Linked DNA regions of Rattus norvegicus. The protein of the gene in region 1 binds, or shares a complex with, the protein of each later gene. Links are inferred from orthologs where the notes say so. Each region holds a gene or a part of one and is shown on either strand. Other genes may lie near its edges.

Region 1 (4,309 bases):
GGGAAAGCAGTGGTTCTAATGCTGAGCTGGGGAGATCATCTGGAGGGCTGGAAGTCACAGAGAGGCACTCAGGAAGGACGTACTATTCCTCCTGCTAGAATCTGGGACAGCCAGTGAAAAAAAATGAACCTGAATTCTAGACAAGCCTGGGGTTTAAAGAGAAAAGATTCAGTTTTCTCAGGAGCAGACAAGCCACAGAGAAAGTCATATTTGTTTGCCAGGGTGGGGCAAGCAACAGGAACCAATAAGTCCACAAGGATGGTATAAGGGTGAACATAAGCCACGTTCTGTGGCCCAAGCAGCCACTGTCTGTGTCCGTTTTATTGGTACGGTAGAGCACTTTTGACAAGGACCGTATGGCCTGCAAAGCCTTAAATGTTTCCTGTCTGTCCCTCCATGTGAAAAGCTCCTCATTTAGACGCTACATCCGAAGTGGGCCTGACTCAGGCAAGAAGCATAGGTTGCTGCAGACTGGCCCCTCGTGGCAAATAGAGACCCATTAAAATAACTTCTTCTGATAACACATACACACACACACACACACACACACACACACACACACACACACACACAGCTTAGAGGACATGGAGAAACCAGGTTGCGACTTAACAGCATGACTCCTCTATGGTGGCTAGTTCTCTTAATACTAGAAGGCGCTCTGAAGGCCGCTGGGTGGGGAAAGCCGTTGATAATCTTACTCAGCTGTGAACTCTGGAGTTGTAATAATGGCCAGAATGGCAAGAGATGACCGTCTGTATAATAGCGGCATGAATGCTGTACCAATAACCAACTACTTTCTGCTCAAATTTTCAGCCTCCCTCCACATATGGAAACGTGCTTGGTACTGCAAAGCAGGCCGAGAACCAACAGTTGAGGAGTTTGTGGGCCACAGGAATGAAGTTACTATTATTTTGCTTAGCTGGCACAGTAGTGAAATTGTTTTCTAAATCTGTATCTCTTTACCTATAGTGTAATGTAGCTCTCTCAGTCCAATAGAGAAGATTTTTTTTAATATAATGGCTGTGCATACATTCACAAGTGTTCAAAATGCGGTAATGTGTGCCCAGCCACAAATGGGACATCTATAATCATTTCCTCTCTAAAGTTCAGGGATCATCAAGGAAGAGGTGGCAGAAAGACTGTAAAAGCCAGAGGTTGGAGACCAGAGCACAACGTGACTTCTAGACAGGACAGGACCAAGGCATTCAAAGACTCCAAGCAGTTGCAGCTGCTGGTACAGGGTTAAGCCTTTCAAAATTCAAGTAAGAAGTGGAAACGGGTTTCTAAGTCCTACCCTTAACGGAGGAGCTCCAGCTATCGGATCTGAGGTAGGGAGAGTCAGTTTTCTTTAAGTGTATGATTCCTGGTAGATTGATTGACCATGCTCCCGTGGATGGCCCCATGCCCAGTAGTATATGGCTAGCATGAGTTGGAATTATTGGGTTATTAAGTTAAAAGAAAAAGGAGAAACAAAACTGAGCAGGTAGGGAAGTGGTGGAGGATCTGGAAGGAATTAAAGGGAGGAATTGGGAGTAAATTAATTAAAACGCATCGTATAAAATTCTCAAAAGAATTAATACAAATATTTTTAAAGTAAACACGCAAACATAACCAACAAAAATTCTTTCCGGAGGACCAGAGCCATTTTGTATTCACTGAGTGACTGAACAAAAGGTATGGAGGCTCCAAGGTCCTCTACAGTACAGGGAAGCATTAGAAAGAACAAGAGCTCAGAATTAGGCCCTGATTCCCAGGTACAGTCAAGGTGATGTTCCAATATCACTCTTCCAAGGAGTCCTGGCCTCTGAGAGTTCTTTGGAAAGCTGCCTCCCTCAGTGTGTGATGTCCTGACTTCTGATGAGAGGGGAAAGACGAATTTCAAAGAGCAGTACCCACTGGTTGAATAGTTGAATATTCCCCAAAGTGCATTTATTTCAGCACAGTGTAAAAACTGTGAGTGGATATTGCTCTTGTTGATCTATTTATGGGCACGTGAGTCAACCCACGTAGACACGTGAGTATATGGTGCATGATCAACTGTATTTGCAGGTGTGTTTGCACAAGTGTTCAGAGAGAGAGAGGCCAGAGGAAGGTATCAGGTGTCCTTCTCTACCACTTTGCCTTATTTCCCTGAGACGAAGCCTCTTGCCGAATCTGGAGCTAAGCTAGCAGTCAGAAAGCCCCCAGCCCCGCTGCCCATCGCTGAACTAGGGCTATAGGCATGAGAGTAGACATACTCAGTTTTGTTTTGTTTTATAAGGGTACTGTGGACTTGAACTCAGGTCCTCATGGTTATGCAGCAAGTGCTCTCACCCACTGAGCTACCTCCCCAGCCTCAGGTATCAATAGATCTGCATTAGTTCTTAGGCTATTTAGTAATGCAAATCATTTCAATAAAATTCTATTTATTATTATGATTGGCATGTATACTTTTTTTGATTTCTGAGTGCAGAAGTAGCAAGCCAATTCTTCTACACACAATTCCCTTTGCAGCACTAACCAAACCTTCTGATTTTATGACAGAAGTTGTCAGATATGCACTCCCACCCTTGCCCCACTGGGGATGATGGGTACCTGCTCAGTGTCACCCTAGACAGACATCAAAGGAGGAAGATACCTTCCTAGACCACATGAATCGGCCAGTCAACTTTGGTACATTTCCCTTGCCCTGTCGAGCATCCACACATACACCACACCCTCAGCAGGCCCTTCACTCAGTCACCTTTCCGGAATGTCTCTTTCTTTTTCTCGACTTCTCTGTTGACACGATTCTGTTCTGGTTCAACTGCAGGCCCCTGGTCTTCAAGTTCGTCTTCGGTTTCATCATCACTGTAGGGAACCACTTCATCATTGGGCTGGGAATCCTCATCAAATGTTGTTTCCGAGTCCCTTTCTGTGTTCATTCTGCTGGCAAATTGGAACTACCTGAGGAGAGAAAAGGGGGAAACAAGAGTGAATTGTGACTTTCCTGTGTTGGGCTGAATCTTGCTGCATCTTGTCAGAAGACCTCTTTCACAGAACATTGTCCCACTGACAATGCAAATTATTCGAGAATAGTGATCTAAAAGTTTAGCATGACATGTAAGAAAAACAAAAACACTATTGATTAAGTACTAGATCAGAACTGAGGGGAAAAAAGAGGCTCAGTTTATAAGTGTGTGCTACACAGGAGAAGGACCTAAGGAAGATACCCACTGTTACTTCTGGTACCTCACATGAATATGTCCCTCAGACACACATGTACCTGTATATCATACCCACATATAACACATGCAAAGAAAAACAGGTAAGTATAAGACTCAATCTCTCACAAGTCTGTCTTTCTAGAAGGCCACACAAACCTTGAGAGTAATATTTCAAATTGTCCATCTCTACAAATAAATAATAAATTAATAAATTTAGTAGGGTCAATGTTAAAATAAAAATGAAATAGTCTAGACAGTATTAAAGCATGATTCATGTAGTAACAATAAGTACTTTCTGGTTTAAAAAAATGCTTTATGGTACCCAGAAGCCTACATTTATTTACATTACATTAATATGTTTTTGTGGAATTGTATTCCCCACTTTAGACAGAGCTGGAACACTGCTGCCTTAAGAGAACTGTTTCCCGAGAGCGCTAATACTTTGAGCCTTTAATCAGTTTGCAACAAGGAGCAAACACTCCTTCCACCTCTTGTCCTCCTCCCACCACCATCCCCCCTCCCTCTCTAGAATTTGTTTGAGGGTATGCTGTTGCATAAAGTAACTCCACAGTGGAAACACGGATGCCCGGAGTTATATTTATATTGGAGAACTATTTACACAAATTCCTTGGGTTACTTGAGGACAGTCATGCTGCCTGCTGTTGTTTACCCAAGTGTCAGTCTGCCCGGTACTGAGTATTGTGGGCAACAGCAGCCCACATCCATTCAGTGTTAGCTATGTGCCAGCTCCCAGACTAAGGGCTTCATCAACACTGCTCCTTTGAAAGTTTCCTATCAATTCAAGGAAGGTGTCATTACTTGTTCTCTACTGAAAAGAAAACCAAGACTCTGGAATATTAAAAAACTTTGTGACAGGAGGCTGGAGAGTTGTCTCAGCAGGTAAGAGCACTGACTGCTCTTCCAGAGGTCCTGAGTTCAATTCCCAGCAACCACATGGTGGCTCACAACCATCTATAATGGGATCCAGTGCCCTCTTCTGGTGTGTCTGAAGACAGCAACAGTATACTCACATACATGAAATAAATCTTAAAAAAAAATTGTTTTTTAGAAAAAAAATCTTGTGACAAAAACAATCAAGTTTCCAAGAAATATCACGTACACTC
Region 2 (4,607 bases), on another chromosome or scaffold:
ATACAGAAGTCACCAGGAACACTGCTTACTGGCTTGCTTCCTGTGACTTGTTCAGCCTGCTTTCTAATGTTCTCCAGGACCTCCTGCCCAGAGGTGGCGCTGCCCACATCAATCCTTAATCAGAATAACACACCTCAGGCCAGGCTTATGGAGACATCTTCTCTGTTGTGGTTCCTTCTTCTCAGATAACTCTAGTACAAACAAACAAACAACAACAGCCCAGAGAGTGCCTTATTAGAGTACTAAGATTCTATTTTGGTCTAATTGCCTCTTGTCTTCTACATTGTTCAGCATAGGGCTGAAGACTTGGAGGGACAACATTAAAACTGTTTTTAACAACTCTTTTAGTTTTCCAAGTCTCTTTGGATTTTTGGATGAGTGCTGAGTGCAATACATGAACAGGTATGCAAGAATAACAGAGAAAGCATTTATTTACACTATATGAGCTGGAGGGGTGAACTTCAGTACCTAAGGAAGATTTAATACAGAGTCCCCTATGTTCTGTGTATTCTAACCTATGTACAGACAAAAACAACAAACAAACCAACCCTCGAATCCCGGGCTAATTAGAGTTTTTATACAGTTTATAAATCCTAGTTCAACTTGGGCCAACACGTAAATGTCCTTGACTGTGGATATCGGCACCGTCCCCCCACCCAGGTGGAGGGTGAATCAGGCTTTTCTCTAGACAAGCAGAAGAACTGAAAAGAACGTCAGATGTAGTCCATAGCGGGGATTTTTCCCCTCCTTGCTAGTTTCTCCAGACAGTTAGAGAAGACATTCAAGGCTGCAAATTCTCCCAGTCTTTGATTCTTCTTAAAAGATCACTTTATTTTTTACAGAACTTTCCACCTTTCATAGCTATCAAGCCAGACTGGAGAAACTGGCTAGAAAATACTAACCCCTCCCATCTCCCCCACCACCACCATGCCGCCCTAAATAAAAAGTGGAGAATAAGAACTCCATGTTGAAATTGATGCAGTTACCATAATGTAACACCCAGGGCACTATAATTTGTGCTTGAAAACTAAGTGAAACCCTACTTAAGACTCACCCTTTTCCTTAAATAAGGAGGATTAACAGCCTTAACAAGCTAATAAATAATCAAGCCAACAGAACCCCACCCTGGAGCAAGCAAGCTCTGGGGTGGAACTTTCTTGTTTAAGTCAGGCTTGTGATTTGGGGGAAGTTGCCCAGGCCCTGTAGAAGAGAAAAGGAACCCGAGCAAAGGTAAGACCCATTCAGAGCCCATCACTCACCCACCCAGGAGTGGGAGAACTGGGAGGGGGGTAGGAGAGAGGGGAGAAGGGGGAGGAGAGGGGAGGGGAGAGGAGGAGGAGGAGCCAGAAAGGGAGGACTGTAGAGTCAGAGCCGGGTGAGGTGAGGAGCCTCGCCCTGCTCACCTGGGAAGGGCGCCATGCAGGGGCGGAGCCAGTCCCAGGTCACCCGGGCGGTGGCGGAACTGAGCAGCCGGGGCAGAGGCGGGGCGCCGGGGATTCAGCCTCACCTGCGTGGGGGGCGGGGCGGGCGCACCTGCGCGGGCGGGAGGCGGGGCCGGGGAGCAGCCGTCGAGCGGAGACGGCGAGTGGAGGCGGGAGGCCCGCCGCTGACCCGGGTTGAGCACCCACCGCAGGCCCCGGCTGAGACCCCGCCATGACCTGGAGCGCCTCGGCGCGGGGCGCGCAGCAGCCCGACAACACCGCCTTCACGCAGCAGCGCCTCCCCGCCTGGCAGCCGCTGCTGTCGGCCGGCATCACGCTGCCGCTCTTCTTCTGCGCCGGCCTGGCGTTCATCGGCCTGGGACTGGGCCTCTTCTACTCCTCCAACGGCATCCAGGAGCTGGAGTACGACTACACCGGCAACCCCGGCACCGGCAACTGCTCGGTGTGCGCCGCCAAGGGCCAGGACCGCGCGCCGCCGCCCAGCTGCCAGTGCTCCTGGAGCTTCACGCTGCCCGAGCTCTTCCCGGGCCCCGTGTACCTCTACTACGAGCTGTCCAACTTTTACCAGAACAACCGGCGCTACGGCGTGTCCCGCGACGACGCTCAGCTCAGCGGCCTGGCCAGCGCGCTGCGCCACCCGGCCAACGAGTGCGCCCCCTACCAGTTCAGCTCCGACGGCCTGCCCATCGCGCCGTGCGGCGCCATTGCCAACAGCCTCTTCAACGATTCCTTCTCGCTCTGGCACCAGCGCCAGCCCGCGGACCCTTTCGTCGAGGTGCCGCTCGACCGCACCGCCATCGCCTGGTGGACTGACTACCACGTCAAGTTCCGCAACCCGCCGCTGGTGAACGGCAGCCTGGCGCTGGCCTTCAAGGGCACGGCGCCGCCGCCCAACTGGCACCGGCCGGTTTATGAGCTCAGCCCGGATCCCAACAACACCGGCTTCATCAACCAGGACTTCGTGGTGTGGATGCGCACCGCAGCGCTGCCCACGTTCCGCAAGCTGTATGCGCGCATCCGCCAGGGCAACTACTCGGCCGGTCTTCCCCGGGGCACTTACCGGGTCAACATCACCTACAACTACCCCGTGCGCGCCTTCGGCGGCCACAAGCTTATCATCCTTAGCAACATCTCATGGATGGGTGGCAAGAACCCTTTTCTGGGCATCGCCTACCTGGTCGTCGGCTCCCTCTGTATCCTCATGGGCTTTGTCATGCTGGTCGTCTACATTCGCTACCAGGACCAGGATGACGACGACAATGACGATGAGTGATCTTGCCTCCCCTTCCTGCTTCTTGGCCAAGCCGCATTTAGCGGTGGTAGCCCTTTGCTCCTAACACAACTTAAGGCTCACTGATCTGTTGTTGTGGACGAAGGGCCTGAAGAAGGGAATTACACGCTCACTCTTAAGAGATACGGGACTGTTCTCAGGTTTTGGACTGCAGAGTGACACATCTTGCCATTTCTGCCCATCTCCCCCGTGGCTTACCGGGTGGACATGGCAGGTCCTTAAAGTCTACAGCATTCCAGGGCAAAGGACACGGAAGATTCCTGGATTGGAACTCATTAAGACCAACAGCCAGCAGTTGGATCCCATTCTGAATCTAAGCTTTTGTTCCTCCCTCTAAGCTTCAGCCACCCTCAGCTTTCTGGGAGGAAGATACCGGATGGGGTGGGGAAGTGTTGGGATGGAAAATTATGTCCACTGATGGCCTACAGAAGCTTGGGGGAGTGGGAAAAGCACATTTGTTAAAATCTAAGTCGATGAAGAGGCGCCAGGCCCCTCAGGTTCTGATACAGTAAGGCCAGGATGAGCAAGCTTCTCTGGAGTCCCTGTGCCCTTAAATTTGGGAATGCTGACCCAGGTTGGGCCTGAAGTACTCACCTGAGCTCTGTTTTTCCTGTAATAATTTGTTCCCACGAACGGTGGCAATCATAGTGTTGGTGTTTGCTCTTGAGCATAGGAAGGAAGCTTGCAATTTATGGGACAAGTGAGAAAAATTGCTAGGTCTAGGAAGCTGCAGATCTGCAGGGCCAAAGCGCGTCATTAAACGTGAAAGCAAACTTAACAAGAGGCTGTGTAAAACTTTGAAAATGCAAGCGCAGTTTGCATGGCTCAGGGGGAAGTGTTTTAACCTGAAAAACCGGACTGCAAATGATCTTGGTGAGGAGCTGTTTCCTTGGGACCTTGAGGGACCGACTTCTGCCTGACTTCTCACCCCCCCCCCCCTTTTGAATGAATCATCGTCTTTTTTTTTTTTTTTTTTGATGCTGAAGGGAATAATTTAGTTAACTTTGTGTTATTTTCACAAAGAATTATCTTAAGTCAGTGTCAACTCTCAAATGAAACGCATTTCTAGTGATCACGTTTAAGAATGATGAGGGATAGATATATTCTTATAAGCAAAATAGACTCGGGATTATTTTAGCCTTTAAGATAATGTTAAAATTACTGGGCTGATTTTATTTGATTGCCTACAATTGATATAAAGCTAGTCTCAGAGACAATTGGGACATTTTTATTTTAAACCATCCCCCCCTTTTATGGAACAATAATTTAAAAGAAAATTAAAAATAAAATTTTCCATGATACTGTCTTCCAGGTTCCCTGAAGAAAAGTTACTTGGCATTTGTCAGGGTGCTCTGGGCTGACTCCCTAGTGCAGTTATTTTCTGGTTGCTGGTGTATTTTCATTCCTCGAAGGCAGCACAGGTCTTGGAGTATGTTTTATGGCTGTCAGATGTTGAGCTACGGTGATTATTTCCATTCATTCTATTCTTCTGTTTTAGTTAATACTTATTTTTAGATGAACAGCATGCCTAAGATTAAAAAGTGACTTAAAATAACTTTTATGCATATCAAAGAAATTCTTTAGCAATTCCAATGTGTTGGCTTTCTGACTTCCGAATGTGATAACATTTAATATCAGGTCACATCTTGTGATATTCTTGACTATGTAAGCTGAACGTGACACTGTACTTCAGAACGCTTTATTTATTATGGATGCTTGGTTGATCAGCTCTCCTCTGTGTCAGGTAAAGACGTTTGCTTCATTTCCCCCTATATAGTTGAGGGTAACTATATTTCATTTTGTAGAGCATTAATCTTTTTGTTATAAGTTTTTATATGAGACCATGAAACCTAAGTCCTGGGATTAAATCGTAG

Evidence for each region.
Region 2: the proteins of Atp8b1 (region 1) and Tmem30b are in contact, whole or in part, in a cryo-EM structure (PDB 7VGH), measured with the Homo sapiens proteins. The link is inferred for Rattus norvegicus from reciprocal best matches to the Homo sapiens genes ATP8B1 and TMEM30B. Residues at the interface, in NP_001361314.1 of Homo sapiens: Trp362, Val366, Ser369, Ser370, Trp371, Tyr372, Leu373, Tyr374, Asp375, Gly376, Phe418, Trp421, Asp422, Leu423, Tyr426, Asp431, Pro433, His939, Trp942, Arg946, Tyr968, Phe971, Asn972, Gly973, Ser975, Ala976, Gln977, Leu1003, Gln1005, Phe1049; in NP_001017970.1 of Homo sapiens: Gly9, Ala10, His11, Gln12, Pro13, Asn15, Phe18, Thr19, Gln20, Gln21, Arg22, Leu23, Pro24, Ala25, Trp26, Gln27, Pro28, Leu30, Ser31, Ala32, Ala35, Leu38, Phe39, Phe46, Leu49, Leu53, Tyr109, Tyr111, Asn116, Phe117.

The regions. Positions count from the first base shown.
Region 1 is NC_086036.1:60,366,482-60,370,790, forward strand, and holds the start of Atp8b1 (phospholipid-transporting ATPase IC), read right to left. Parts: upstream 2,904-4,309; coding exon 2,723-2,903; intron 1-2,722. UniProt on the Homo sapiens protein: Catalytic component of a P4-ATPase flippase complex which catalyzes the hydrolysis of ATP coupled to the transport of phospholipids, in particular phosphatidylcholines (PC), from the outer to the inner leaflet of the plasma membrane.
Region 2 is NC_086024.1:97,987,535-97,992,141, reverse strand, and holds the start of Tmem30b (cell cycle control protein 50B), read left to right. Parts: upstream 1-1,595; 5' UTR 1,596-1,653; coding exon 1,654-2,715; 3' UTR 2,716-4,607. UniProt on the Homo sapiens protein: Accessory component of a P4-ATPase flippase complex which catalyzes the hydrolysis of ATP coupled to the transport of aminophospholipids from the outer to the inner leaflet of various membranes and ensures the maintenance of asymmetric distribution of phospholipids.